Arabidopsis thaliana: one gene and its partners. The protein of the gene in region 2 interacts with the protein of the main gene of each other region in a pairwise test. Each region holds a gene or a part of one and is shown on either strand. Other genes may lie near its edges.

Region 1 (10,183 bases), on a different chromosome or scaffold from region 2:
AGGCCTTATCAACCAATAGTTGAATTAGTTTATAGACCACAAAGATAATTAGGTTACACGTCACGGAAGCAAGGAGCTATTGGTGTCACCAGACCATAGTATTTAATTTCAAGTCTATTAATTGTAGAAGGCAACCCAAAATCCACTCCTTGAAATAATAAAACACTGTCTTAAATTCGTATTTGTTGAGTCCTTCACCACCATTATGTCTGATTCTGCTTATATACAAATTTAAGTAAGGTTGTTAGACGGTTCATGTCTCCGAATCTTTGATCAATTGTAAAGTGTAATGTAAAATAGTTTTTTTTTTTTTTAATTTTAAATTTGCGACTACTATATCTAAAAGTCTACTATCAACTACAACTTCACTTGTAAATTGTAATACTCTCGAATAGATCATTTTTGATGAAACAAGTTAGACAATCATCCAAAATTAATCACCAATTTGAGTGCCTCCGAATTTATTCACAATATTCATTATTGAAAAGCATTTTTGGATATGGCCAACCAATAAAATGAAAATTGAACTTTAAAAAAAAAAAACTACTATACCAACAATGTAAAAACAATGTGTGTGTTCACCATCATTAGAACAAGATCTACTCAATGTTTTAAATGTATATATAATATGTTTTGCGCAAAAAAACGTATATGTAATATTATATATATCACGTTCATGATAATGTTTTCAAATTCTCATATGAAATTATTGGAGCAAGTTGCATTTACGATCCGGAGAACTGAGCCAAGAAATGGGCGGTTCTCAATTTATTATGGGTATTATTAACCAGTGGTGGTTGAACCAAAATTAATCTATTCATTTTCTCTATCAAACTTTTTGTTACTTTGATGGTTTGTCTCAATCGATTAAAATAGTAACTAGTTATTTTGTTTTGGCATGTCACTGAATTGATGTTGTTTCTTCTAATTTATGATCCGCTATATCCGCAGCATTTTTCTCTCCTCCTATAACTCTAATGGAAACAGGAAAAAGAAAAAACAAGAAACGATTAGAAACTCAAATGTGACAAAAAGTCAAAAAATAGAGGAGGAAACAAAAACATGAAGATTACTCATCATTGTTTGGTTTCTCTTCTCTCTATCCTCCTTTTGTCTGGATTCGCTTTCTCTCATCACATCTCTCGTAAATTACAATTATCTAATACTTTTACTCGTTTTATTAAAAATATTGTTGAAGTTTCTTTGAAATAATTTATGACATTTCTATGTGCAGTTGATGAATTTGAGTCACACCCATCCACAAGCCGAGCTCTTCTTCAGGCAAAGGCAAGTAAGTAATATAACTCCCAAAATTTACACCATTGATTGTAATCATGTGTTTTAGAAACAAGCTTCATTGATGATTATTAGCTTAATAAGCAAAATATTCCATGATCATTACGTTAATGACATTTTAACAGCATGCAAAGAAGATTTTGCGGCAAAGAATTACACAATCATAACGAGTAAATGCAAAGGACCAAATTACCCGGCCAAAGTATGTTGTTCGGCCTTCAAGGACTTTGCTTGCCCATTCGCGGAAGTTCTTAACGATGAAAAGACAGATTGTGCCTCCACAATGTTTAGCTACATCAATCTCTACGGTCGTTATCCTCCTGGAATATTCGCTAACATGTGCAAAGAAGGCAAAGAAGGTCTCGATTGCACCGACGTCACCCCTACATCATCTTCCCATGCATCGATCCCTCTTGTTTCCACACACGTTTTGCTAATCACCGTTTCCATCTTGTTTCACCTCTTCTAAAGACTTGTAAATGTTACAATATGAGTTATATATTGCATTCCATTGTTAGTTGCTTTGTGAGCATAGATGTAAATGTTTGATTTTTGTTTGCACTCTCATTAACATCATTCGTTATGCCCGGTGTCGATAACTCTACCAGTCGACCTTAAGGAACTCAAGGGATTGCATGACTAAGTTCCGAGTTCCAATCCTAGGCAATGAATAATAATTCTAGAACATGTGTGTTTGGTACACATCATAACACTAGCATTCCTAACATGTTTTGTGGATCAAGAACATGTGTGTTTGGTCATTAATGGGCTGAGCTAATCTCTTAGGCCATATAGAGTCACTAGTTTATTTATGAAGACATGTTTGGTAAACCAAATAGAAGAAACATGAACCTCATAAATCATGCCTCTTGTCTTGGTGGTACACTTTAAGCCGAAGTTACAATAGTGATGTGAAAGAAAGAAAAAAAACGAAACTTAAAATCAGTAAATCTTTGTAGTTAATCAAATGGGGTAAACAATAAGAACCCTTACAAATCAGAACAATGCAAATGTTATCGGTGAGCAGTAACAAGCGTCTCGATGAATCGTAACCCATCAAACCTTGGAGCAAACTTCTCATCTCCCCCATCTTCCGACGAACCCTTCTTCTTCCTCTGTTTTTCCTTTGCCTCCTAACCACAATCAGCAGCTAAAAATTATTCTTTACACATCCGAATCCATGTAAAAGTTAAAAACTCTCCAACTTTGTAATTTGATAAATTTTTGACTATGAGAAACTTATTGTGAGTACTTGAAACAGAGGAGGAACTTTAAATGCTACCGAGAAACAAATAAACAAGAGCTTGATTCTTCTTTTTTTACCTGACGAGAGAGATTAGATTCCGGCGAAGAGAATGACACGGAGGTGTTGGTAGAGCCGGCGGAGATCGCCGTGGCAGAAGCCGCGACAGAGATGGAGGCTGCGATGATTCCAGTTTTCTTCATGTCTTGATCTTAAACTTTCCCAAATTCGTGGACTCTGTTTATACTTTTTTTTGTTTTTCTGTGTTAATAAAATAAAATCTGCAACCGTAGGCAGATGAGAGAAAAATGTGGGAAAAATTGAGGTGTTGGCTTCGATAGTCGACGGTTTATATACGCAATGGGGACAAAAGTTAAATTACGCTAGTTGACCAATTTATGTATCGATAAAGTATGTTACCGTTTTACCCTTTTCTAAATACCTTAAGCATGATTTAATTGCGTTAATTACAGCTAAGATCATTGGTAAACGTTTTTGAATAGAATGATTTATCTTCTAGAAGAATTTAATTGGAGTAAGAATGGGTAGCGTGAAAAATAAGGGGGTTAGTATGGTCAAAGCATTAGAAAAAAAGAAATGTACTTTGAGCCTTGAAGTCAGAACCACACAAAGAGAAACATGATTGGTTGATCTGTTAAATGAAAATGGGTCCATCGTTGGTTGGTAAGTAACCCACGTGTCCGGACAATGTTGCAACTATGAGTTGGTGTTTTGAGAATGTTAAAAGTCAGCTTTGTATTGGACGATTATGCCCCTCTTATTTCTCGTTTATTACTGTTGGTATTGTATGCTCATAAGATAAGGTTCAAGAAAAGAAATGTTCATAAGATAAGGTCGAAACACTAAATGACGGGTGAACAATGGCATTGAACAAGTGGATCTGATTATTTGTCTTTGAGAGCATATCTCAAATGCAAATTGATGTAAACTGATTTGTGGATACCAAACCTAACAAGTCCCATATGGTTTTCTGGTGAGATTTCTCTGCGTCAAATTTAATGTTGAACACATTTATTCTTTGATAAAGACATCACAATCTCGTTAAGTTTTAATACTCGTCTCTATATATTTTACGTCCGGTCACTATTTATGAAAAAAACAGAGTAGTAGAATAAGTTATTAACACATGATCGTACAAAAGCATCTTATGGTGACGTATAGGATCATAATGATATGATTAATAAAGTTTTGATTAAAGATGTATGGATACAAATGAAAGAAAAAAGTTTGCGGCTATATCTCTTTAGGGATGGGTTCTTAATAATTAAAATTACTTTTGAAGGACTTTATCGTTTGCGCAATCTCATAATCATGTCCACATATCTCTACTTTTTCACCGGCCAAAACTTATTCGGTCCATATCCGTATCTTAACGTGAATTATTGATCATGCCGCAAGACCAACAAGCCCACAACTTATTTTACTCTTACATGTGTAAAACAATTAACAACCACAGTGATTGTGGACAGGAGAAGATGAAACAACTCAATGTAAGTAACCCAACACAACCGGTCAATCGGTCATTCTTGTGAACTGGTTTCATTACAAGAACGTGTACCAACTATCTCTAAGCAAACATGCAGAGGCTATGATATCATACATCATATATCAACAAGTTACCAAAAAAAACACTCGTACAGTCGTACTCTTGATGTAACTTCCAAATAATTTTTATATATAACCGGTTCATGTTTCTGGTACATGCTGACAACTACAATATGTTCTTCATACAAGTTTAGCTGACCAATGTGACTACAGATCCCAAAAACTAGCAGCAGTAAGATGGTTGGATTATAACACAAGACCAAGATCAAAGCCCTTCCAATTTCTCAAGAACTCACATATCACTCACTCCTCAAGAAGAACAATTTACTAACTTGAGATCCCTCGTATCTTAAGAAAACACCTTAGGGAAGAAACAATATCAGCGTTGAGAACCTGGTTTCCTCCACAATGCATTTGGCACACATCGGAACTATGGATTCAAAGAGCACCAAAACGAGTCTATATCTCTCAGTTTTATGCCAATGCCAACAGAGCTCAAATGGCACCCATAAAAACATCAAAACAGTCTTCTTTATAGATAATAAGAATATAAGATATCTAGCCTAGCAAAAAGATCGAAACTTTGGGTTTCCCCCTTCGTTACCTCAATCCTCAATAAAAAAAAATTCCAATGAAACGAAGTGAACGAACGACGTCGTTCTATTTTTTAGGTTGCAAATAATTGAAAACAAATAAACGGGACAAATTCACAAGTAATCAATATATTTAGGGACGAAATTACAAATATTTAATAGAAAAACAAGAGTTTGGCTGTTTCCTCCTTCTTTCATCCTTATCACAAGTCTGAACTAAAAAACCTCAATTGTAATAAACAAATTAAAAAGCAAAAATATAATAAAGAGAAAACAAACGTTTTTTTCCTGCTTGCTTCTCTCTTTGCTTGCGTTTTCTCAAAGGTTCGAAGAAAACGAAGAACCACGCTTTTGCTTTTTTCCCAAGACTTAATCTAAAAAGCGAGATTTCCTTCTTTCGATTCTTTTTTCTCAATCTGGTTTTCAGTCTTCGGATTCAATGGCGTCTGGATCTTCGGGTCGGGTCAACTCAGGATCCAAAGGTTTCGATTTTGGCTCCGATGATATCCTTTGCTCTTATGATGACTACACCAACCAAGACTCCTCTAATGGTCCTCACTCCGATCCTGCGATCGCTGCTTCCAACTCCAACAAGGTTAACCACACTGATTTACCCTTTTCTTCCTTTTTTTAGGTTCGGGTATTTTGCTCGATCGGCGATTTTTGTTTGATTTTTGGGAATCTAGAGTTTTGATTTGTGGTTTGCTCAGAGATACGTGTAAAAACAATTTCGAGGAGTCAATATCGAACTAGTCCTCTTAGTGTTGAGCTAATTTAGCTAGTTATTTCTATGTTGGTTGTGACTTATGAGGAGCTATGTTCTGTGGAAACGCCTTAGCTATGAATCTGACTTGGAACTAGAGCTTGTTAAGCTGTGCTTGTCCTCCTTATTTTCAATTGGAAGAAAATTTCATCCACTTTTGATCAGATATACTGAGCGAGTCTTTGTTTATTGTTTCATTTTTTTGCTTGTAGGAATTCCATAAAACAAGGATGGCAAGGTCTTCGGTTTTCCCTACAAGCTCTTACAGTCCACCAGAGGATTCTTTGAGCCAAGACATTACTGACACTGTCGAAAGGACCATGAAGATGTATGCTGATAACATGATGCGCTTTCTTGAAGGCCTCAGTTCACGCTTGTCTCAGCTTGAACTCTACTGCTACAACCTTGATAAGACCATTGGAGAAATGAGATCGGAGTTGACTCATGCACATGAGGATGCCGATGTGAAGCTTAGATCTCTCGACAAACATCTTCAAGAGGTTTGTTATTGTTATGCAATGTTTTTAATCCTTTTTGTTAATTTTAGTTTGTAAAACTCTGATCAGTAATTGACCATGGATGTTCTGTTGTAGGTGCATAGGTCTGTCCAGATTCTTAGAGACAAACAAGAGCTAGCAGATACTCAGAAAGAGCTAGCGAAGCTACAACTTGTGCAGAAAGAGTCATCTTCGTCGTCTCACTCTCAACATGGTGAGGACCGTGTCGCCACTCCTGTTCCAGAGCCTAAGAAGAGCGAGAACACCTCTGATGCACACAACCAGCAGCTTGCACTTGCTTTGCCTCACCAAATAGCCCCACAGCCACAGGTGCAGCCGCAGCCACAGCCACAACAACATCAGTATTACATGCCTCCTCCTCCTACACAGCTTCAAAACACACCTGCACCGGTGCCCGTTTCTACTCCACCATCACAACTTCAAGCACCACCAGCGCAGAGTCAGTTCATGCCCCCACCTCCTGCTCCATCTCACCCAAGCTCAGCCCAAACTCAGTCATTCCCGCAGTACCAGCAAAACTGGCCACCCCAACCACAAGCCAGGCCACAGTCAAGTGGAGGCTACCCAACATACTCGCCTGCACCACCAGGCAACCAACCGCCAGTAGAATCGTTGCCAAGCAGCATGCAGATGCAATCACCATACTCTGGACCTCCTCAACAGTCTATGCAAGCTTACGGATACGGTGCTGCACCACCACCACAGGCTCCTCCTCAGCAGACAAAGATGTCTTACAGCCCCCAGACTGGCGATGGGTATCTACCCTCAGGACCTCCTCCTCCTTCCGGGTATGCCAATGCCATGTATGAAGGTGGGCGAATGCAATACCCACCACCTCAGCCGCAGCAGCAGCAGCAGCAAGCCCATTACTTGCAAGGTCCACAAGGTGGTGGATACTCTCCCCAGCCGCACCAGGCAGGTGGCGGTAACATTGGTGCACCACCTGTGTTGAGATCAAAATACGGTGAACTGATAGAGAAGCTAGTGAGCATGGGTTTCAGAGGAGACCATGTCATGGCTGTTATTCAGCGGATGGAAGAGAGTGGCCAACCCATCGACTTCAACACCCTCCTCGACAGATTGAGTGGGCAGTCCTCAGGAGGACCTCCCAGAGGATGGTGATGCCATGGCTCCCCTCTACTTGTGTATCTTTCAAAATAAAACTGTGCTTCCTCTTCCTCCTCCTCTTTGCGTTACTCTATAGAGGCCCTAGTTTTATTGGGCCCAATAGATTGGGTCTGTTGTGTATTGTTATAAGACTCAATTTATATTTCTTTAAAAAGCCTTATTATTTGTGTATGTGTTACTTTCAATGTTTTTCTTGAACCCAAAATCTCTTATCAATGATTTGCTGCTTTCTTTACTTCACTTTTGTTTTATATAGATTGTGAAAATTAATAACCTGAATAACAAGCTTTTAATATTAAATGGAAATTAGTTCCTATACCAAAAAACCTTTCAAATCATGAAATTTGTGTATTTAGAAAAATTGGAAAAATAAGAAAAATGGAAAAAAAAATGTCAAAAATAGATTTGCGTAAATCCTTAAAACCAAAAAACAAATAGAAAAAAAAAACTGCGGGAAAGGAAAATAGAAGAGGCGCCAAAGATTTTATTTCAAGCAGCGCGGTTAGAGTCTCGCGCCAATAAACATACCGCCACAATCTCCTTCTACATAAACAGCCCTAATCCTCTATCTCAATCTCAATCTCTCATTCATCATCCTCTTTTTTCAATCTCGTTTAAAATTAACATAATGATGACGCCAGTGAAGAAAAGTATCGCCATTAGACCGGTGTCGTTCTACGGAAACGGGCTTCCTCGTCCTCGTTTCTTCGATAATCCTAAGTTCAATGATTACCGTGTTGATCCTCCCCTCTCTGTGCTAGATCCTCTTCTCTCATGGGCGAGAGACGCTCACTGGTCAATGGGTGGTCTCAACTTCACGCGTCTCCGTCTCCAAGGCCGGATCGAAGGAAACGTCAACAAGCTCCGTGCACAGCTTGAGAAATCCACCCCTGTGAAACTCGAATCTGGAAGGAAGAAGAAGAGATCTGGTTCTGAGTCTCCTCCTTCTGCTCCGATTGTGGTGAAACGAAGGAGGTACTTAGATCTGAACGATTCTGATGATGAGGAAGTCGGATCTGAAGATGAAGGTGTGGTTAGAATCAGGAGAAAACTCTCTGATGATTTTGATAGAGTCGCTGAAGAAAGCAAGACTAAACTTGTTGAAGCTAACAAGAAATCGATTAAATCTGAGTTTGTGGAGAAGAAGAGATTGATTGAGAAGAAGAAGATCGTAAAAGTTAACAAGACAAGTTCAACGAGGTCATCTCCAAGACTGGCTAAGCGTAGCTCTAATTAGTTTTCATATTTAGTCTCTTCAATAATTTCTCTTAGGGTTTAGAATTGTTGAGTACTTAGTTTGTTTTTTTGTATTTGTGCTTATAAATATGGATTTATCTATGAACTCTGACCAATGAACTTGAATGCATCAAGATATTTTTACTCACTGAGTTGATTCTTGTATACAACAAAAATGAGAATCAGATTTCACTGTAGAGAAAAAAGACAGTTTACATGTGATTCTCTCAATGTCTGTGAGAACAAAGTTCTTTCAACTTTTGTTCCTTAAGACGTCCTGTGACTTTACCCAATCTGCAAGATTGTTCTATCATCAATTTGTAAATGGAATCTTGTTCATGTGGAACAATCCCAAAGTCATCGTTGAATGTTTCCATGCCTTCCATGAATAGCTGCCACACTAATGTGCCTGCACCTGACTTCTTTCTTTTGGCTGATTTGTAAACCACGTCGAAGATGATTCTGTAGAACTTATCTCGCTGCGATGGTTCGTAGTCCTTGTTCTGGTTTGATAGGCCAAACTCTGTGAAGAGAACTGGCTTCTTTAGTTCTTTCAATCCATCTTCTATGTGAGATTGCATCCATTTCACCACAAACTTTAGCTTCTCTTCAAATGTCTGATTATGAAACCTGCCCATATATACATTTGTAGCAGAATAAAACAAGTGAGAAACCTGCACCTGAAGAGCTCAATGCAATTATATCTTGATTCTCTGATCCAGCTCACTTACCAGTGATCAGGGTAGATATGAACGGATGCAAAATCTATGTTTGAGGAGTTAGAGTTTTGAACAAAGTCTGTTCCGAGCTGGGATGCCCACTGTTCTGGATTAACTGTGAGCCCTTTCGGGCTATTAGGACCATAGAAGCCTTCCAGACCTACTGTGAGGAGATGCTTGTCATCGATTGACTTAATGAATCCCGTCATTTCGTCTATCCAATCCTGTGATCCAGCAAAGAAATACATAAATATATTTGCTGAATAAGAAACAATCTGAACGATTCCAAGTGGCAAGTGAAATGGAATACTCACTTGGAGAGTTTTGCCAGAGACATCAGTCGTGCATCGAGGCTCGTTTATCAACTCCCAAGCGAAAATCGTAGGATCGTTTCTGTACTCTATTCCCGTTACAGAGTTCTTCCTGGTGAGCAGAACCTGCGAATTAGGAAATAATCATTCAATCTTTACTCATTAAACTTCCTCTCACTATCACTCAATGATTAAAATGTTCAATCATAATCAGCAAGAGACCATTACCTTGAGATAATTCTTGAAGTAATTGCGGATAGATGGATCAAAGAAGAAGGAATCATTGGAAGAACTAAGACCAACACCTTCTTGCCATGCCCATTTCACATACTGAGTCTTCCCTCCATAAGCTTGCAAGTTGTTCACTAAGCTAAGCAACAATCTAACATCATGCTTTCTCGCTTCTGCAATTACATGATCCAAAGCCTAACCAACATTATACAAATCCCATTAAACAAGGACAGAGAGAGATCACCACATAACTGAAATTATAAAAAAGAGGAAGAATCATCAAAACCTGAAAGACTCGCTCATCGAATCGGCCAGGAGAGATCTGAAGAGCATTGTAGCCACCGTCATTGAAAGCCCAAGTTCTACAAACAGTGAGACCCATTTTAGCTCCAGCTTCAAGCATTTCACCGACAAGGTTTCTGCTATGTTCATCAACCGCATGGTCCATGAACCAATACGAGTTCCACCCATTTACATAAAGAGGCTTATCATCCACCACAAACTGAGTTCCGTTCCTTTTCACAAACCCTAACTTTGCTTTCCCTTTGTGATTCAACCACAAATCTCGAAATGATAGAT
Region 2 (10,985 bases):
AAGAGAATTGTGATCACAATTGAATATATATATACACTTTCACACAATTATGTGCATCTGCTAATAGTCTAGAGATTGCAATCATTCAATATGAGAAGCAATGTATCAGATTTCATCTTTGTAAGAGTACCAGTCAATGGTGTAGTGCTCCGTTGCCAATGGTCTTGCTTTACATGTGAATGCGACACATTGTTTTTTTCCGGATTCAGTTTTGTCCTATAGTTCTGTTCTACTTAGTGCTATTTGGCCTCAGATTTTGTATACTTTATATGTCTAAGCATTTACCTAGTGTGCAACATTGGAATAAGAAGTGTAGTTTATGACAAGGCAATTTTAAATTACCAATGTGTTGTACATCATAAAAAAAAAAAAAGGGAACAAAAGAGGACAAGATCCAATCCACAATTACACAAAGGAGAAAAATAAACCAAAAGAGACAATAGGAGTAAAACAGCAAATTAATAAGCAGGATAATATTGCTCAAAAGTTGTAGACACAGGTTCCATCGTCACTTCTAGCCGTTGGATCAAAGTTTTCAGCCACAGGATCAGTACACCCTTCAGGAACTGGCAGGTTTACTTGCTGGGCTCCTTTTCCTGCAAGTCAAGTAAGTTTAACTTCAGAAAACCTAATTCCATTTTCTTCTCTTTCTCTTTTACATTTTCATACCCAGTGGCCAACTAAACCAAAAAACAAACGAGTTTCAAACCTCTGTTTTACCGTAGAAAGTTCCGCGGCCGATGGCGTCAGCGTTTGCGTCTCCCAAAGCAGCCTGGCTGAGGTAGGTCTCGGCAAGTTGGACTCTCTTGACATTCTCTTGTTCCATCACAAGCATGTTTCCGTATTCCATAAGCTTCTCATAAGTCATCTCGGGTTGCTCGAACACGGGAGGTCCTTCCCTTGAGTTAACCAGCCTCTTTCCGATCTTCTCAACTCCAAGGCTCTCAACGAACTTCCTCACTTCATCATCGTACACTCTCGCCCTCAAAGCACCGAAGAAATCTGTCCACACCAAAAACACATATCAGATTCTGCACGAGGTCCTATATAGAACATTTTCAGGGTAGTAAGAATCTTTCTTACCGATAGATTGACCAGGGAACTGATCAACAAGTGTGACAATGTCTTCGTCCTTGATCTTGTCAGTTCTGAAGATACCCTTGCAGACACCGATACGGTCTTCACGGGTCGGGGCCCAGTAGAACTTCTCCATACGTCCATCACGGATGAGAGGAGCGTATAGGGTGGAGAAATCGTTACCAGTGCAAATGATGGGGACACGTGCGTTCTCTTCCTTGTTGTACATTCCTGGGAGCTGGACGTTGGTTGGGTTATCAGCAATGTTCATGAGTGTTGCGTTAACCATCTGGTTGTTGACAGTGTACTGAGTAGTACCACCCATACGACCCGCACCAGCGTCAAGATCGTTGATGAAGAGACAACACATCTTTCCCTTCTTGATCAAGTCAGCTGCCTCACGGTACCTCTGACGGATAAGCTTTGCGGGTTCTCCTGCGTTTCCACTCTCAAGCTCTCCAGCACTCATCATGATTGGGCTGCAAAAAGATTCAAACTTTTTTAGATTCTTGTCGAAAGAGAGCTAAACAGAAACCGGGTCAAGATCGGAGATTTGGGAAATGGACTCACTTGATACCCATCTTGGCCATGACAAGCTCACACTGGAAGGATTTACCTTGACCTTTGCCTCCCCATATACCCAAAATAAGTGGAACCTATGAGACAAAAAAAACAGGCATTTAAAGATCAATAAAGTTGTGTAATAAGTCAAGATTGCACCAAAAAATACTCAAAAGAAAAACTTTAAATTATACCTTGATGTTAGGCAGAGTCAAGAAGTTCTTGGTGATGTGAACAACAAGCTTGTCCATGAAAGCAGGAGCAATGTAAAACCCATCCATCATGTTGTCCAAGTTGTACCTATATTTCAAGAAGTAAAGACAATTTTTAAAACCAAAGACTCCAAAATCTTTATGGAACTAATGAGAGATCTAGAGAGATGAGAACTTACTGCCTAAGGCCTTGGCTAACGTATTCGTATGAGCTAAGGACAGCGTGGTGAGTTCCGGTTCCCATAGGAGCTTGGAAGACAGAGTCAACCATACCCTTGCCTCTGGTGATGTCTTGTTGATCATCAGAAGTGTCGTAGGCAAGACCTCTCCATCTGTCTCCATCGGTTTGTTTGTCTTCTTTCACAGCCAACACCTTGAATGATCCGTTGCTCTTCTTGTTGCTCTGTGCGAATCTCGACACAGTTACAACTTTCTTTCCCAAGAAGGTTGAAGCTGGGGCTGATACAGCTCCTGATCCTGACCCGTTCAAGCTCAACTGCAACACACACACAAAAACAGTTCAATCACCAATCATGAATTCAAGTTTGGTTTATATGGTTCAAGAACCGGTTTAGAGACTATTCCTAAGGATAAAAGGCGCTCAATCAGGAACTGAACCGAACCAAACCGGGGAATAAACTTTAATTTGGTTCACATAGCTCAAGGTATAGACTAGTCCTGAAGACTAAAGAGTAGTAGTAGTCTCTACAGTTTCAGTTCAATTACTATACATCGATTTAAACACATCTACTAAATCTATAGTTCACAAGTAGAGAATAAAAGAAGCATCAAAGTATCTTTAGATTTCCTAGTTAAAGTCCTGATTCTTCTGTTCTGTCAGAGAATCTCAAAGTGATTCAAACGATCAAATTCTTGAGCTATATTTGTAAAAACCAAAGCTATTCAAGTGGTGGATAAGCACAAAGCGTTAAGATTATGTTAAAAGTAACATTAAACCACTAATGGAGATTGAAGTGTACCGGAGCTCTGTTGATGGCACCGACGGTGGAAACTGCGGCGGCCATATCTCAAGACTGCGACGAGTATGCGTCACAACACAAGAAGCTGAAGAGAGGAATTAGATTGGTAGAAGAAGAAGCTTAGAGAGATGTTGGTGTGAGCAAGAAACTGAGAGATTTATAAAGCGAGTGATCAACAACCAATTCGTTATCTCTTCGTCTTCAAGGCTTAACTCTCTGATCGCCACACGATGCGGATTGGCCAAGTTGCCACGAGGAAGATGATTAGGAGGATTCTATTTTGATTGGTCCACGTGGAATATGTTTATGAGGTTGTCGTCAAATGGCTAATCTGTGCCAATGGATTTGTTTTTTTTTTCAAGTGAAGATTATAACATTATTTATTACCACATATGCTTTGGAAAATCATTGTTTTTTTTTTTTTTTTTGAGGATTGAGGTAAGCCATTCATATGTGATCAAGATACTTCTACACTCTTCTTCATACGATAACATTCCAAAATTTTGGATAATGACATTGCTTATCGATAATAATGTTCCAAATAACCGATGTAAACTGATTGGTGGAGAGAAATTGGCTTAGCCAATAGAATATAATTCTAATTTTGTTATATACAACTCTAGATACAACAGGTATCAAGTATGTGGTTATCAAATTAACCATATTGTACTAAACCGCTAAAAACTAATTAATGCAACTTTTTCTTTACACAAAATGTAAAAACAAGTGATGCAATGCATACGTAAGATTTGATAAATATATAGTTTAGAAGATGAAGTAAAGATAGTCGAGGCTAAGATAGCATCATGCAAAATATCATATGCTAAAATATGAAATAAGATTATAGTGTTTAAATTCATAGTGAAAATATGAATATATCAGAAATTCATATGAATTTACTTGTTTTAAAATAAAAATGATAACTATATCATAGTTTATTGTTCCCTCAAAGTTACTATAAAAACAACTCATCTAAAACTATATATTCACAATCACAAGCAATCGTTTTCTACACTAAGCTATAAAATGAAACACTTCACTTGTCTGATCATTATAATTTCTCATCCTCTTCATTATTTTCAGTTTTCTCAACCATTCTCTCATGTGGAACGAGCCATCATATCATCAATGGACAAAACCAAATTTTAATTTTAGGCTTCATTCGCTGCCGACGAAGCAATATGTACATGTTCTACATGCAAGACAAGAGAACAAAGATTACTGATATGATATTAAACTATTATTGATCCATATATAAGACATGTTGAAGAACCAAACGATTGATAATAATGTGGTGGAGCTACTCGCACAATGCTAAATGTTAACTGTATGTGACAAAATTAGCAAAAGTTTGCGTGCCAGGTTTGATTCTTAGTACACATACATGACTTTTAACATACTGAGGTTAGAAAATGAAGTACAGTAAAACCTTTATAAATTAATAATGTTGGGACTGCAAAATTTTATTAATTTAAAAAGGTTTTAATTTATCGATAAATTAATATTTTTTAATTATAGAGAAATTTTCCTAATTTGGTAACTTTTTAAAAAGTTTTATAAGATTTTTTTCATTATAGAAAATATCTTTCTAAAATCAATTACAAGTACAAAATTATATCATGTCTAGAAAACAATACCAAATTTTTTTTGATACAGTAACACATTAGAACTAAATTTCAAATAAGAATAACTACAAATTTAAGTAAAAAAAAATCAAAAACATTTCTTACATATAATGTATATATATAGTTGATACATTTATGCAATTATTAATTTATGATATTGATGAGACTATATATTTACATAGGACTTTCAAAAAAGTTATTATCTTATTAATTTATCGATGTGTTACACTTTTTACATTGGTCCTAACTTGGGATCTGGTGAATTTATTAATTTATAGAGGTTACTAATTTATCGAGTATTAATTTATGGAGGTTTAACTGTAAAAAGAGTTGAGGTTACCATTGCAATAAAATATGAGACAATGTGTAGAGGAGGATAAAAGATTGAACAAAAAGAAGAAAGCCAACTAGTTTTTGTCAAAAGGATAATTTTCCATGTGCATGCAAGTATGCAACCACATCAAAATCATAAATAAACATTGTCTAAAATGTTTCTAATAAAAATAGATGTAAAGAAAATTCATCAGTTTAATAACTAGGGTTTAAGAGATATTTACAAATACTAACCATTAACATCATATTTAATATGACTTTGTAAAATCTATGATCAAATAACATGCAATTTTTTTAATATGTAAAATAAATTATCTCAAAATATTTGATTGAATATATACCCTTTAATTTAGCATTGATTTTAAAAATCCAACAATTTTCTATAGTATATTTTGTAATAATGTTATTGGTTCCTAAAAAAGATGGTCACATCATTCATTAAATAAAATGAAATAAAGAAGTGTTTCCTTCGTCGCATTGAATAAAATAAAGTAAACCTTCCAAAGACTTTTCATTGTCTTCGCCTGCGAGCGCTAAAATTATCTCCGAGCATTCTCAAGTTGGGTGATTCGGTACGGATTACTGATTTGGGAGAGAAAAACCCTAGATTGGAATTAGATTCTGGGTTCTTGGGCTAAAGGTTTCTTCATCTCCTTCGAATCATCCTTTTGTAAGTCCAGTGGATGTGAAAACCCAGTACTCACTGATTCTTTTTATTAGGAATTTTGTAAGGTTTTGGGTAGAGTTTTCACAGTTTTGATGATACTAAAATGTGGGCCACTGGGTCTAGAGAATGAAGAATCTTGCTTTTAGTGACAAAGGTTGTTCCTTTGGAGTAGTAAGTGAGCAAGATATCAGAAAAACTGAACCTTTAATCTCAAGAATTTACTTTGATTGGAGCTTGTGAAGTCCTTGTGTTATTGTTGCATGATGTTTTCTTTGAGATAACTTGGCAATGTGTGTTTGGTGTTATTGTAGAGGGAGCAAGACGATGAGTAGAAACCCTTTCCTGGATCCTACTCTTCAAGAAATTCTTCAAGTGATTAAACCCACACGAGCAGATAGGGATACGAGGATCACAGTCATTGATCAGTTGCGTGACGTCTTACAATCCGTAGAATGTTTAAGAGGTGATGACTCTTGATGCACTTTTGTGCTTCTCCCATTTTTCTTACTGTCTAGTACTGCCTTGAACCATACCAGCCATGGATGTGATTATGATATTGGATATGAAAGTGAGATACTTCGAGCTTTCAGTAAGGTAATATCTGCTGGAATTGTAGCTGCAGAATAGTAGAAGTGGTTCATGTTACTCTTTCGCACTATTCTCGTTCTGGAAACAAATTATTTCATGTGATGCTTATAGCCGCTCGTTGTCTGGTTCTGTGATTGTTAGGTGCTACTGTTCAACCATTTGGATCCTTTGTGTCAAATCTCTTCACACGATGGGGAGACTTAGATATCTCTGTTGACTTATTCAGCGGTTCTTCCATCTTGTTCACTGGAAAGAAGCAGAAACAAACTTTACTCGGACATTTACTACGAGCACTGAGAGCGAGTGGTGATTCATTTAGCTTCTATTTTTTTCTTCTTTTTTTGGTTTTCTCTTTGCTTCACTGTTGTTTACCTTATATACTACTTAAGTAGTTTAAGTATTATTTCATGTGCCGATTTGTCTCACATCCATTATCATTCAAAAAACAGGTCTATGGTACAAACTGCAATTTGTTATTCATGCGCGAGTTCCTATTCTGAAAGTAGTGAGCGGCCACCAGAGAATTTCTTGTGACATTTCTATTGATAACCTGGATGGGCTTTTGAAGAGCAGGTTCTTGTTCTGGATCAGTGAAATAGATGGGAGATTCCGCGACCTGGTTTTGCTAGTAAGTTAACATGCAAATAAAACCATATTGTGTGTTTCCAAAGGTTTAATTGATTCTAAACGTATCTACCTCGTGTATTCTACATTTGTAGGTGAAGGAATGGGCGAAAGCTCATAATATCAACGACTCAAAGACCGGGACTTTCAACTCTTACTCTCTCAGTTTGTTAGTCATCTTCCATTTTCAGGTAAGATAGCTGTTCTGTATTCATAGATTTTGCTGCCTTCAGCCTTCTGCAGTTACTGCATCATTAGAAACCATAGTAAGATGTTCTATGTTGTTTGTTGCAGACTTGTGTGCCTGCAATCTTGCCGCCTCTAAGAGTGATATATCCGAAGAGTGCGGTTGATGATCTGACAGGTACGCTCAATGAAAAGGTTTTGAAGCCAAACCACACAAAATATATGTGTTTTTGGGGTAAAGGGACAAAAGTTTTAGCGGTATGGTGTCTTGTAGGTGTACGGAAAACTGCAGAGGAAAGCATAGCGCAAGTTACTGCTGCTAATATTGCGAGATTTAAATCAGAGAGAGCAAAATCAGTCAATCGAAGCTCGCTCTCGGAGCTGTTGGTCTCTTTTTTTGCAAAGGTGATTGATTTCTCATACATTCTAGCTTTAATTTTTTTCCCTTAATAATATCCACTAAAGTGCTCTTGATAGAAATTAGTATCTTGATTTTGCTGTGTGGCTGTATCTATCAGTTTTCAGACATAAACGTGAAGGCCCAAGAGTTCGGTGTTTGCCCGTTTACTGGAAGATGGGAAACTATAAGCAGCAACACTACATGGCTGCCAAAGACATACTCACTCTTTGTTAGTCTCTTTCTCTTTCTTTCTCTTAACCTCTTGTTGAGTTATATTCATCTCTATGGCACCATGTGAGTCTCCCGGCTAACATGTGGGAATGGTGTGTGTTTCAGGTTGAAGATCCTTTTGAGCAGCCGGTGAACGCTGCAAGGAGTGTGAGCCGTAGAAATTTGGACAGAATAGCTCAAGTATTTCAGATTACATCGCGCCGTCTTGTCTCAGAGTGTAACAGAAACTCCATCATAGGGATTCTGACAGGGCAACACATTCAAGAGTCTTTGTACAGAACAATAAGCCTCCCAAGTCAACATCATGCAAACGGTATGCACAATGTCCGTAATCTGCATGGTCAGGCTAGGCCACAGAACCAGCAAATGCAGCAAAATTGGTCACAGAGCTACAATACCCCGAATCCACCACATTGGCCACCACTAACACAATCCCGACCACAACAGAATTGGACTCAGAACAACCCCAGGAATCTTCAGGGGCAACCACCTGTCCAAGGCCAAACTTGGCCTGTAATCACACAAACTCAAACGCAGCAGAAGAGCCCATATAAGAGTGGGAACCGACCATTGAAAAATACATCTGCTGGTTCAAGTCAGAATCAGGGCCACATTGGTAAGCCATCTGGTCATATGAATGGTGTGAACTCTGCAAGACCTGCATATACGAATGGTGTGAACTCCGCAAGGCCTCCATCAAAAATTCCAAGCCAAGGCGGACAGATCTGGAGACCGAGACATGAGCAGTAGAATGAGGTGTGCAGACATGGTTCAGAGATACTCCTTCACATATTTTGGATGATTTTGTATTCTGACCTTGGGGCTTTTTTTCTATGGATCCATTCGTTACAATCAACAGATTTGCAATAGCAGAATGTTGTTACTAAAAAATGAGGACGAGGTAAACTTTTACTCAGTAAAACACCACAATCAAATTTACAGTTACATTAAGAGAAAAAAGAAGAAAACAATAAGAGATATACTACCAAACAAAATATATTGTGTTGACTAGTGCAGTAACTTGTGTGGTATTAAGCTCGAAGGAGACGCTTCTCGCATGTTAGAATCCTGTAACTTGCGTGAGGACCCTCGGATGTGTCACGCAGAGAAGTATGCCAACCCATGGCCTTTGTGATTTCTTGAATTTCATCCATAACATCAATTGAATCCCTAATGTATGCTCTTCCACCGGGTCTTAATATCCGGTCCATCTCTAACAATATGGTTGACATCTCACATCTGATAATATTCAGACAAGACAAATGGTTAAACTCAACTATAGGCACCACACGATCATAGATTAAAAATTTATAAATCACTTTGAACTTGAGTTACAGATAATGATGCTTACCTTTTTCTCTCGATCGAGAAGAGTCCAGAGGCATGTAAGAAGTCATATGTCCGTGGGTATGTATCAAATGGTTCACACCTGAGGTAGAATGCATCACTTATTAAAAAAATATCCAGAGCCAGAGACTAAATCTTAGTTTACCTTAAGACACATAAACAGATGAACTTTTGTGTTTAAAAAACATGAACAGAGAAAAGGACAAGATGAATCACTAATTTCCAAGGTTTCAACTATAGGATTCCAAATTCTGATTTCATATGACAGATTCTAAGGAGAAAACAGTACCAATCGTGCATCACTCCTAACAGTCCACGGTCATAAATGACAGGCAATGTGTTAGGCCCACTGACAGGAACCACGCTTAGAACCCAGCAATCGAGTTTATGATCATTTAGTGCAGCTGCAAATCTGCCAAAGCCAAAGGAATAAATGAAGAGAGATAAGCTAAGATACCTGTATAATACCTAACAAAGAAATATTATTTCATACCCGCCAAAGCCTGCTCTCATGTCCAAAACATTTCTTAGTTTCATCTTTTTCCATTTTAAGGCGCGAACATAGCCCCCAATTATTTCATTCCAATATTTTGATTCTGCCTTGAATAGCTCTTTCCTAGCAATGTAGGAATCAAATTTTATCGTCTGCAGCCTATCAGGTGGAGTATGCAGACGGGCAGGCCATAAGGGGACGTTTCCTCCGTACCCTTTCTCAGGTATGCGACTGATGCAAGGTTTCAGATTTGTGTACCTAAAACAACAATAAATCAACATGAGGCATAAAAAATGTGATATTTTGCACACATTGTCACAGACAAGTTAACAGACAGACTAGATGCAATCAAAACAAATCAAATTGAAAAAAAGTTCTGATGCAACTCTGACAGCATTTTAAGAACATGTAGCCTTTATTCTTCTGTTGTTATGCTTCCACATGCAGGTAGCAAGATATGGCCTTGTATCACAAACAAAGAAAAACAGAAAGATTAGCAGCTGTACCAAACATTATCGGGATCATCTGATTCATCACAAAGAGGAGGTTTAGTCCCAGCCTCACGACTCAAATAGCAGTCGTTGTTGAAAGGCTTCTGCCAGATTGCAACGTATCCTTCCTTCTTTACCAATTTCCAGCAGAGGCTAATAGTAAGATTCAGCATTTCTGGAAAACAAAATGTGAGATTAAAAGAGTACACATATTGGCTGAATCAAAGTAGTAATAAAGAAAAAAAAAAACTCTCCTTAAACCCACAGAGACAAACTGTAGTAAATAATAAAGCCACGTACAATGATTACTAACTCCAAAAAGTTTATTAAGACCAAAGAATTTTATCAACCCTGAATTACAGGCCTACTCAAAGCAGATTAAAAGGATGTTACCTGTCCATTGTTCTTCCAAAGCGGGTTCATGCTTATAAACAGGCTGTGCAGCCCAAGCAAAATATCCTCCAGCGCGCAGCATTCTATTGATCTCAAGGAGCAAAATTCCATCTTTATCACAAAGAATGAAACAGCAGAGTGAGAATTTTCTGTACAAGTAATAAAAGCTAGAGCATAGTTCACACAGGGAGTTAAAAATTACAGTAGGTGCAATCTTAATCTTTTTCTGATGTATTAGGTGAAGAATCAAGCACACCATAGAACCTTACCATCACGAGTCCAGTTGATTCTACATCTTGAACAATGAATAAGATCAAAAGCTTGGCTTGGATATAACAAACGCCTTGTCGCAAATGCTGCCGCCATAGCAGGCACACCACGCTCAAGAGCAAATTGAATTTGGTTCTCATGGACATCTTTTGGTGCAACAGACATTGTCATGACATCACGAGACAATAGATAAGCACCAAAACTCGCCACACCACAACCAACATCCATAGCAACCCTAATATGCTTGCCAAACGTAATATCAGAAACCATCTGCAGACACAAACTCCAGAGCTCAACATCAGATGAAAAGATACATAAACAGTTGACGCGAAAAACAAGAACTACTACTTGGAAAAATGAGCCACCTTAGACATCTGGTCCAAGTACTGATCAGCCCCATGAATAAACTGTGTACCACCTCCAGGAAACTTGAACTTGTTCTTGTCTCGTGAAATCCAGTTCTGACCTCCTTTGTCTTCAACAAGCCGAGTATGAGGAACATTGCTA
Region 3 (11,037 bases), about 15 Mb from region 2:
TTTAGGGTATATGGTTCAATTTTTGATTATTTGTTTTCGATTTATTTTATTAAATGATAAATAAATAAATATGTTTTAAGAAAGTTTAAGGTATAGGGTTTAATTTTGAAACTTAATGTTTTACTATTTTATCAATGAACAAAATAAAATGCAAAAGAGTTATTAAAAACTTAATCATATTTGATTAATCTGATTACATATAATTAATAAATGAATGTCAAAACGTTTGAGCATAATTAACAAAACGTTTGCTTAATTTAATTAATATATAGGAACAAAATAAAAGTTATTTTCTGTAGTTGTACTCATGTATTCAATACTAGGATATGATCCACGGTATACTGCTGGATAATTTTTTTTTTTAATGTTGATGTTTTGTGTTTTGACAATATAGTTTATGTTCAGTATGGTTATTGTATTTTTTTCCTACTGCTCAATTATATATTCGGTTGTGTGTATAATTAAAGAACACGTATTTAAGGTAACGATAACATTGGTTATTCTACGGATTTATGGAATTAGGCGATATAATATGTATATTTCTGTAAGCATATGATTTTGAATGGTTGTTGATGTTTTTTTTTCTTATATAAAAACTATATCTTCTGTGGTGGGTATAAGTATGTGACACTTTATTTTCATAATGATATTTAGATTTAGTACTTGTATTTATTTTATTTATGCAATGCAATGTGGATATCTCAAGAATGTATATTAATTTGGACAGCAGGTAATTAAAATAACAATTATGAAATTCTAATGATGTATCATAAAATTGAAATTGAAATTAGTAAATGTGTTTGTCACAAATTTCTAAAAACAATATATGTTTGTAACATTAATAATTTTGTTAGAAACTTGGTAATTAACAAAGCCCATTACATTTACCTCTTTTGTTTAAAGCATACTGTTATTGAAGCCCAAATCTAAAACCGAAGCCCACTTAATTTTTTCCAGCCCAAACACTATTAACAGTTTTTACTGTTACCAACGTTGAGAAAAAAAACAAATTTGGATTCAGTTTTTTTTTTTTTGTCAATCACATTCCGATTCAATCTGAACCCAGCTTCTTCACAACACCATATCACTGATCGATTGACAATTATTTGCGATCAGGGTTTTGATTCAGTTTTTGTCCACTTCTCAATAGATGATGCTATAAATTGATGAAAGATTAGAACATCATATATTTATTGTTTTAATTCTGTTATTTAGCAATGACATATAAAGAGAGAAAATATTTTATGAAATTAAAGCCATTAAAAACATTATCGAGACATATCCGAAGGAAGTAGTATTGAATCAAGTATCTAGAACTAAACATTCTAGAGTAAACAAAATTTCTGAAGAGAGTAGTCACTGAATCAAGTATCTAATTTACTTCTTGTATAGTACATTAATAAGTGTATCTTGTTCTTTGCTAAAGGAACTCACTTACATTTCCAACAGTATAAATAGTATAGGCAAAACATCCAGTTATATATGTTAAAACAAGGAAACCAAACCCAACAAGTTTATAATCTGAAACATCCACACAAGCGTAATGAGTCGATGGTATAATAGAGACATCAATTGTTTGCAAAGCCAGAGGTCGAAACGTATAACCTGGGCATATAAGGGCATACAAAACAATTTCAAATTGTCATTTATCACAGGAAAGCCTGAGATTCAGAGCTAAAGAGAAGGGGAAAAAAAAAAAAAAACCACCTAATAAAAGAGAGATGACAAGCACACAACATGAGACATTCCTCAAAAAAAGTTATGATCCCACAATAGTCTATACTCCACATCATGTCCTGTATTTAACAATCACAAAACCTCAAACTAATCTAGAACTTGAATTCTCAATTGCAACTAGGCCTGGGCAAAATACCCGAACCTGAAGAATCAAACCAAACCCGACCCAAAAAATCCGATTCGAATCCGAACCCAAAATTTTAAAATACCCGAATGGATCCTAAACTTCAAAACCCAAAAACCAGATCCGAACCTGAACCCGATCAAGTACCCGAACATATCCAAAATATATATATAACAAATAATTTATCAATAATAATCATATCTACAAGTCTACAACAACTTAAATGCCTAAAATATTTGGATTTTAAGTTATTTTGTATATTTTTAGGTATTTTACCTACTTTTAGATAAATTCGGATAGAAAATAATCAAGTTTTTATAAATTTTTGAATAGTTTCAAGTAATTTTAACCTATTTTGATATAAAAGTTTTGAGTTTTGGATACTCCTGATAAACCCGAATCCGAACCCAAAAAACCCGATCCGAACCCGAAGTCTTAAAATACCCGAACGGGTCTTAGATTTCTAAATCCGAAAAACCCGACCCGAATATCTGAACGCCCAAACCTAATTGCAACTTTCACATATTTTAGAAACTAAAGCAGATATCATAGCCATTGTCATCACATTGCCTCAACAAATTTGTTTTGCCAAATTTTGGATAGTAACTCAAAGATTATCGCACTCAAGAGTTTAAGAAAACTTCCCCAAAGTGATCTTCCTTACAAACACATAATCACGATACAAATAGATCTAACCATCAAGCAGAAGACCAAAAACAACAGAATCAACAAGCAAACCAAGACCATGAAAGTATAAATTGATTAAACTCAGAGAAACAATTAACCAAAAGAAACTCATGTTAAGAATGTTGGATGTGGCTTACTTAAGTATGGTAGTTGTGTTGTTTAGTTCATGAAGACCTTGTAACCAAAAGAACAACTTCATGATATTAACCAAATCCAAAGACTGAACACAAAAATATCTTCCTCTAGACCTTGGACTAAAGAGTTAGTAGAAGCAGCAGGTAATATACACATTTTCATTGTGGAACAACTATACCTTGTTCAAAGTTTTAAAATGGTTTCGACCCGTGGAATGTTTCACTAACTTGAAAATTCAATTACTAAATAAAAGGGAAAAAACCAAAAAAAAACCTCAACTAAATTTTATTTGGACGTTTAAGACCCAATTGTTTTTTGTTGGAAGGTAAATACACGAAGTAATAAAACCGTGCAATTTAATACACAAACAATTAATTATTGCTATTTTAATACTCACGATCTCATAACAAAAATAAAATTCCAAATTTACCCTTACCATCTCAATTAACTATTATTTTTTTAATAATATAATTTTAATTTTATAATTTTGAATAAAAATTAATTTTATTAACATTTTAGTTAATGGTTTCACTAACTTGTAAATTCAATTACTAAATAAAAGGCAGCAAGAAATGGAAAGATAATTGCTACATTTATAACTCTACTTGTAAAAATTCTGTCATCACTAAGGTCAACAAAGAAACGAATACATAATCGAAAAAGAAAAAGAAAAGAAGAAACAGAGTAAACAAAAGTCAAACTATGCTTTGCTTACTCGTTGAACATTTGCCTAATACAACAGCTTCACTGAACCAAACAGTATGGTTTTTGCGTGTTAATAGTCCTTCATAAAACTCCACAATCTTCGCTGATACAACAACTCTTACACTTGGTCTCAATCTGAAAAGTGAAACCATCTTTCTCTTACAGGGTCACTGAAATCAATTGGTTCCTGCTCCGATGTGAAGCAGCTCCTCGGGGATTGCAGCTGGATCTAAGTCCCAACAGTTTTCGGGAAAGCCGCTGGTTGCATCTTTAAGAAACCAAGACGGCACTTGATGTGAAAACCGCAACATTTCACACCTTGGTATCCACTTCTTACTGTCCTCCCTTGTGCTCCTGTGATACACGGTTTTGTAGCCCTCTAATTTAACAAGAGGGGTAACGCACACACCATACTGTTCAGTATACTCATCAAGAATCTCGACCATTTCATATTGGTGCCTCACTTCGTCCGGTGTTGATCCGTCCCAGTTCAGTGACCAGTTCTTGTAGACGGCCCAAATCTCCCCAGCTGTGGGGAAGATTCGAACACAACCACCTCTCCCTGTCTTCTTGCCTTTTAAAAGATGCGAAAAGATGTTAACATGGTCTACTATGTCAGAGTTTCGTATCCTGAAATGTCCACACGACTTTGTAAACCCATATTGTACCCATTTCATTGACCCAAACTCGATGTCGGTTTTAGAGCTTAAGTAGGCAATGTCAATCTTAAAGGGTTGAACTGAGAGTACTTCCCTCACCACACAATATAGGCGTGGCATACCATCATCTTCATCATAAATTGCCCATATTTGCCTTGGCTCAAAGGATTCCTCCGATCTGTTTTTATCAAAGTCATGGAAATCAGAGTCTGGAACTGTTATTGGCCCGTTAGTTTTGCGCCCTGTAACATCTCCCAACTTACAGGAGAGAACAGTTTTTTCATCAAGGGGTGTTGCATCCTCTGCAGCCGCTGCTGCCTCTAAAGCCAATCTCATCATCTCCAATCTTTGCTTGATATCTGTTCTGGCCTTTTGAATTAAGGGCTTCCGTGTATCCAATACTGATGCAGCAGACCAACGTCTAGTTGAACTTTGGATATGAAGTTTGTAATCCTGATCCATTTTGGCATCTGTATTCGCTGTCTTTGATACTGAAACAGATCTCAGAGGGTTCTCAACAAATCCATTAGCAGCAGCTTCCATAAAAACTTTGCTTTTCTTCCCAGGTCTGCCGACCTTATTTGCACTCGCGTGAGCAGACATGCTGATCTGATTAGGATATATCAGACCACCTGGTGTGCTTTTCTTCGAGCATGTCCCATTAGAACCATCTTTGACTTTATTTATTCCCCCGCTGACTACTGAGTTGCTGTGCTTATAAGGATACCCATTAGACACTGAGGACACACGCTTCAAATCCAGATTCCCTGGGGAGGTTGTTGTTCCAGAGTACGAGCTCCATTCATATGAACCATTCGTACTATAATCATATCCATGTCCTTGCCCAGGATAGTGGCCTAAGAAATACGTGGAATTGGTGGGCATGCGTGACATAGCATCATAACCATGTGCACCATAGCCATTACTCGGAGGCGCATGAGATGGAGGCGCATGAGAGGGAGGCGCATGGGATGGAGGCGTGTAATGAAATGGTGCACTAACAGGAGCTGGACCAGTTTCTACAGCAATAAATGCTCCACGACAGTTCTTACATGAAAGCCTCTTATTCACATACTTCCTCAGATACTCATACTGAACTTTGCAAGAGGTGCATACAGTCCAGAAAGTATCAAGCCTTTCTGAAGATGGTGGAAACCGATCAAATACTGCAGTCCCCGTCCCAGTCCCAGTCCCAGGCATGTACTCTGTGCTATGCTTCTGAACCTCAGTGGAGTCAATATGCTTCTTTCTTTTGTAATAAAAAGTGCTTTTATTAAACTCATTAGACAAGAAACTCCAAGCTTCAGATATGAGATGAAATGCACCATCAGCTCCAATGCATTTGTTCTTATCAGGATGAAGCAATACAGCCATCTTCTTATACTGTTTCTTCACTTCTCTTTTCCCCGCAGACGGTTTCAGTCCAAGTACCGCGTAATAATCAATCTGACCACCGCTTCGAGTCTGAGAAGCTAAATAAACTTCAAACGTCGCAACCATCTGAGATAAACCTTCCAAATCAGGAAACAAAGACTTCGCTTTCAACGCATAACTCCTAGCGCTTGTGAAATCTTTCTCCGCAAATCTCCTCTCAGCGATCTGTTTCACTCTGAGAGCTTCCTCTCTGTAAGCTTCCATGTAGAAAGAAACCAACACAATATATGACAGCTCTACAAAAGGAAACTAACACCGTTCCCGCAAGCATTCCATATTCAAGCACCAAAAGATCATCATTATCTGCAAACAAACATTCACAAGAACAACATTAATTCTTTTTGAGTCACTACAAATGCAAACCAATACCTAACCAACCACACATACTCAAACAAACCCATACTTACTAACTTACAACAACCATCCTAAGATTCGAGATCTAGAATCTCCAAGTTCAGATTTTTTTTTGACAAAATCGCTAACTTTATATCACAAAGACATAGAGAATTATACAAAACTAGATTTAGATAGTCAAAAAGTAGCTTAATTTTATCTCCATTTTGAACAAATTTCACCAAAAAGTCAGATTCAAGCTATCAACTTCATAAGACAAAACCCAACTCAAAAGGATTAAACTTTAAATCCCAACTCAAAGTTTACTAATTTCTTCAATAAACAACAATGACAAAAACCAAAAACCTAAAATTTCAATAAATGAAATAAACTGAGAATCGAAGTTAGCGATCTTACTGATAAATTGGGGAAAATTACAAACACAGCTTCAAAAATAGATCTCTGAAACTTCTTCTTCCTCCAGAGATTGAGTAGATCAAATCGGAAGTAAACAAAAAGCACGAATCTTTAGGCAAAGATTTGGAATCAAGAACACAGCTTTAATAACTACAGTAACTTTAGGGTTTTAGGGTTTCAGTGAATTCAGGTAATCGGCGATTCAGGCATCGAGAATGAATCGCCGGAAAACACCGTCGAGAATTTCGGGGAAAAAAAAAATGGAAGCTAAAATAAAAATTTGTTTTTTTTTTTGTTAAGTAAAATAATTTTGGAGTGAAAGTAAACGGTGCTAATTTGTTAATAGTGGTTATCTCGACTCTGATATATGCCATAATAATTTTATTATATAAAGTATGGTTTTAAAAATTACTAACTCATAAGATTATGTCATGTGTCAAGTCTATCGATCGGATGTTGACACATATAAAAAAATAATTAACTTTTTTCTTTTTAAAGAAATAGAAATACTAAAAAAGAAATCAATTAAATTTTTTCTTCTTAAAGAAATAGAAAACTAAAAAATAAATCATTATTAACATATACTAATTCATATATTTATATATATGTAAAATATATTACATTTTATTTTTCTTAACCAAAAGGAAAATTAACCAAAAATATTTATATATGTTATTGGTCAAAATTTTAATATGTATGGTATTAACAAATTTTTTATTATTATTAATTATGTTTTGTTAATTGTTAATAATTTTTAATATTAACTAAGATATAGATTTGATCTCATATATATATTATTTTGACATGAAATCATTATCAAGTAAGATGAAGTGTGTAGAATTAAAATCGAGTTTTTTATGAAATAGATAGTTAAATTGTATTACAAAATTGAATATGTAAGATAAAAATTTATTCTTTTCTTCTAAATACTAAATTATAATATAAAAAAAGTGTGTAGGTTACTATTTAGACTTCAAATATCATCAATAAGATTGAATGGGTATAATAAAATAAAATGCATAAGACTACTATTTTACTATTCAAAATTATATATCAAGAACAATGTATAGATTATTATTTTATTATTCAAAATTTAAATATTATAGATAAAAAATTACAGTTACATTTTACACCCGCCTATTTAGGCGGGCTTTATCTAGTATCATAATAATAATTTGTTAATAGTGTAATATATGAATATGGGTTAAAATAATAGTTTCATAAAGTTATAGAAAAATTCAACTTTAATAATTGTTAACAAAATAATAATATTTGTAAACACCATCCAGTTAACCTATGAGGTTATGACTCATGAAGATTCATTTAAGAATTTTCACACTTATTAAAAAAATTATTAATATTTGTTTTTTTCTATTTTCTAATAATTATACATTTCTCATTTTGTTCACAGTTCTAAATAATTATAAACTGATACTTTTTTTATGTCACTATCGTGTGATTGGATGTTGGAAAGTATGTAACAATTGCATAGTTGGGTTTTTTGCCAATGTAAATGTAAGTTGTTAGGGATCTAGTGGCACGCTTTGTGGCTGTGCCTATTCCAAAACTAACTGCTAGTCCAAACATCTTACTTTGGGAACGCAGTTAAGATGTCTTTTTAAACCTCATTTCTTCTTCTCCAAAATTTAAGAACAGATCAGAAAAAAATGTCTCGAGTAGAAAGAATTGTATAGTATTGTTTTGTTTAGCCGAAAGTGTTTTCGCTTGTCTTTACTCTTTGTACATATTTCTTGGATCAAAATTTTTTAACCCTACACTCTTTACCATAATATTCATAATAATTTCAGTTCTCTAGATTTTTGGCCAGTCAAATTAGCATTTCGAACTATAATCTATTACTTATGACGTGAATGCAATGGTCGAGACACTAGAAAGACCCGATATCAACCTAAAACATCGATAATGAAACACAATAGTTTCAAACTTTTGAGAAACATAAATCCATGAAGTAAATCAAAGGTTGCTAGAGTAGTCGTTAAACTTGCTTCTATAACATTGATTTCATTGCTCATGTCAGTGTCTTTCATATCTGGAAACAGAGAAACAATTTGTTTACTCTCACTTGATTTGAATGCAATGGTCGAAACACCATAAACACCATAAACACAATAGTTTTAAATTTTTGAAAAACATAAGTCCATGGACTAAATCAAAAGTTGTTAGAGTAGTCGTTAAACTTGCTTCTATAACATTTTATTTCATTATGCCATAAACATCAAACCATTTACACCTAACATCTCTCATATAATTTTAATAAGAAAATGTCATAAAAATATATAATTTACTTCTTTTTGACTAAAAAAACTTTAACTATTCCATTAGATAAAATAAATTTCCAATTTTATGTTGATTAAGTCATTTTATTTTCCTTTTAAAGCAATAATAACGAGTTAAAATTATTGACTAACAACGGAGATAAAATAGTAAGTTCAATATAAAATTGAAAATTTTTTTATCTAATAAAATAGTTTGAAAGCTTTTTCGTTAAATAAGTTTGGAATTGTTTTTAAAATTCTTTATTTTTTCTTTTTTTGAACAAAATTCTTTTCTTTTTCAAAACAACCCAAACACAGCATAAAATGCTACGCGCTTGCCGACAAAAAAAAGCAAAGAAACGCTTTTACGAAACATGTCAAGTCTAATTAGTCTAATAATTGTATGTTGTTCTTTGCTAAAGGAACTCACTTACATTTCCAACAGTATAAATAGTATAGGCAAAACATCCAGTTATATATGTTAAAACAAGGAAACCAAACCCAACAAGTTTATAATCTGAAACATCCACAAGCGTAATGAGTCTATGGTATAATAGAGACATCAATTGTTTGCGAAGCCAGAGGTCGAAACGTATAACCTGGGCATATAAGGGCATACAAAACAATTTCAAATTGCCATTTATCACAGGAAAGCCTGAGATTCAGAGCTAAAGAGAAGGGGAAAAAAAAAAAAAAAACACCTAATAAAAGAGAGATGACAAGCACACAACATGAGACATTCCTCAAAAAAAGTTATGATCCCACAATAGTCTATACTCCACATCATGTCCTGTATTTAACAATCACAAAACCTCAAACTAATCTAGAACTTGAATTCTCAATTGCAACTAGGCCTGGGCAAAATACCCGAACCTGAAAAATCAAACCAAACCCGACCCAAAAAATCCGATTCGAATCCGAACCCGAAATTTTAAAATACCCGAATGGATCTTAAACTTCAAAACCCGAAAACCCGATCCGTACCTGAACCCCATCAAGTACCCGAATATATCCGAAATATATATATATATATATATATATATATATACAAATAATTTATCAATAATAATCATATATACAACAACTTAAATGCCTAAAATATTTGGATTTTAAGTTATTTTGTATATTTTTAGGTATTTTACCTACTTTTAGATAAATTCAGATAGAAAATAATCAAGTTTTTTTATAAATTTTTGTGTAGTTTCAAGTAATTTTAACATATTTTGATATAAAAGTTTTGAGTTTTGGATACTGCGGATAAACCCGAATCCGAACCCGAAGTCTTAAAATACCCAAACGGATCTTAGATTTCTAAATCCGAAATACCCAAATCCAAAATACCCGACCCAAACCCGACCTGAATATCCGAACGCCCAGACCTAATTGCAACTTTCACATATTTTAGAAACTAAAGCAGACATCATAGCCATTGTCATCACATTGCCTCAACAAATTTCTTTTGCCAAATTTTGGATAGTAACTCGGAATCATTGACTACTAGTATTAGACCCGTACGGAGAAAAATAACTTTAAAGACGAAGATGTAAGAGATTAAACATGAACTATTAACACAAAGTCACTACCTAGAGCCATATACAAATGGATCATCTTCAAATTCTTTTGTTGTTGTCAGTTTATCTTTCAGTATGTCGTCTTTGTTATGAAGCCATCTCCATGGAAACTCCATATACTTGATAGCATCGTCTTTTCAGTGACATTTAGTGCTTAAACGTTTGAATAACGTTTTTGAATTATTTGTCTCCCTTTTGTCGTAATTGTTGTAGCCCGTAGTCACCTACCTTCAAAAGAGAAACATGTATAGACGGATAATAGAGATGGATTAAAGAAATGAGAGATAGTATACAAAAGTCAGCTATATTTTTTAAATCCTTACACAAATATTGAATGCAAAACAGTGTAATGCAAAATCATAATCAAGTAATTTGTTACAAAACATTATAGTAGAAAAAAAAGTTTGCACTTGAGTAACCCGATTTTAAAGATACATAAGTCACGTACTTCGTAAGTAATTTGTAAACTACTCACATTATAAACATTTATCTTTCAGTTAGTGAATCCAAGAAGACTGAATCATAACCAAACTGTTACAATCCGATAACTTAAAGATCGATTCAACACAACTCGATTCAATCACAACACAACTCGATCAAGCTTCAATTCGCGGAACACTTAATAGATCGATCAAGAACATAATCAAACAAAGAACGAAACGAACACACGATTGTTTACCCAGTTCAGATCACCGGTGTGATGATCCTACGTCTGGGGCTGGATTCAATCCAGCAATCCACTATGAATCAATATTTACTCAAGCTCAAAACCCAGAGCTCAAGATCGTGTTACAAAGGAGAAGAATTGAGATAAGAATTTTCTGTTACAACGAACAAAGGAAGAAGAAGACTATTTATAACAGAGTCCAAGTCAAACCCTCTAATACCAAGAGAGTCTCTTCAATCTTCTACTGAACTCAAACCGATTTCTCCTTTCTCCTTCAACCAATACCAAACCG

Evidence for each region.
Region 1: the proteins of HESO1 (region 2) and AT4G28300 interact in a two-hybrid assay, tested with the Arabidopsis thaliana proteins (one large-scale study listed by BioGRID).
Region 3: the proteins of HESO1 (region 2) and AT2G05230 interact in a two-hybrid assay, tested with the Arabidopsis thaliana proteins (one large-scale study listed by BioGRID).

Annotation. Positions count from the first base shown.
Region 1 is NC_003075.7:14,009,723-14,019,905, forward strand, and holds AT4G28300 (formin-like protein (DUF1421)), read left to right. Parts: upstream 1-4,923; 5' UTR 4,924-5,137; coding exon 5,138-5,293; exon of another isoform or gene 5,294-5,673; coding exon 5,674-5,961; intron 5,962-6,054; coding exon 6,055-7,101; 3' UTR 7,102-7,375; downstream 7,376-10,183. Other genes in the region: LLG3 (LORELEI-LIKE-GPI ANCHORED PROTEIN 3), read left to right, coding at 1,063-1,144, 1,235-1,291, 1,422-1,765; AT4G28290 (uncharacterized protein), read right to left, coding at 2,310-2,429, 2,620-2,742; AT4G28310 (microtubule-associated protein), read left to right, coding at 7,736-8,344; MAN5 (Glycosyl hydrolase superfamily protein), read right to left, coding at 8,571-8,973, 9,075-9,286, 9,377-9,499, 9,602-9,799, 9,891-10,183.
Region 2 is NC_003071.7:16,570,471-16,581,455, forward strand, and holds HESO1 (Nucleotidyltransferase family protein), read left to right. Parts: upstream 1-5,281; 5' UTR 5,282-5,630; intron 5,631-5,766; 5' UTR 5,767-5,779; coding exon 5,780-5,918; intron 5,919-6,184; coding exon 6,185-6,349; intron 6,350-6,492; coding exon 6,493-6,671; intron 6,672-6,762; coding exon 6,763-6,858; intron 6,859-6,961; coding exon 6,962-7,031; intron 7,032-7,127; coding exon 7,128-7,258; intron 7,259-7,371; coding exon 7,372-7,482; intron 7,483-7,589; coding exon 7,590-8,234; 3' UTR 8,235-8,515; downstream 8,516-10,985. Other genes in the region: RCA (rubisco activase), read right to left, coding at 481-596, 721-1,002, 1,084-1,556, 1,648-1,733, 1,833-1,938, 2,030-2,346, 2,831-2,875; AT2G39750 (S-adenosyl-L-methionine-dependent methyltransferases superfamily protein), read right to left, coding at 8,516-8,723, 8,836-8,913, 9,121-9,243, 9,325-9,582, 9,831-9,990, 10,209-10,319, 10,478-10,748, 10,844-10,985. UniProt on the Arabidopsis thaliana protein: Uridylates small RNAs to trigger their degradation. Catalyzes the uridylation of 5' fragments produced by AGO1-mediated cleavage of miRNA target RNAs. Acts synergistically with URT1 in unmethylated miRNA uridylation, leading to their degradation.
Region 3 is NC_003071.7:1,896,254-1,907,290, forward strand, and holds AT2G05230 (DNAJ heat shock N-terminal domain-containing protein), read right to left. Parts: upstream 6,573-11,037; 5' UTR 6,232-6,572; intron 5,785-6,231; 5' UTR 5,686-5,784; coding exon 3,565-5,685; 3' UTR 3,215-3,564; downstream 1-3,214.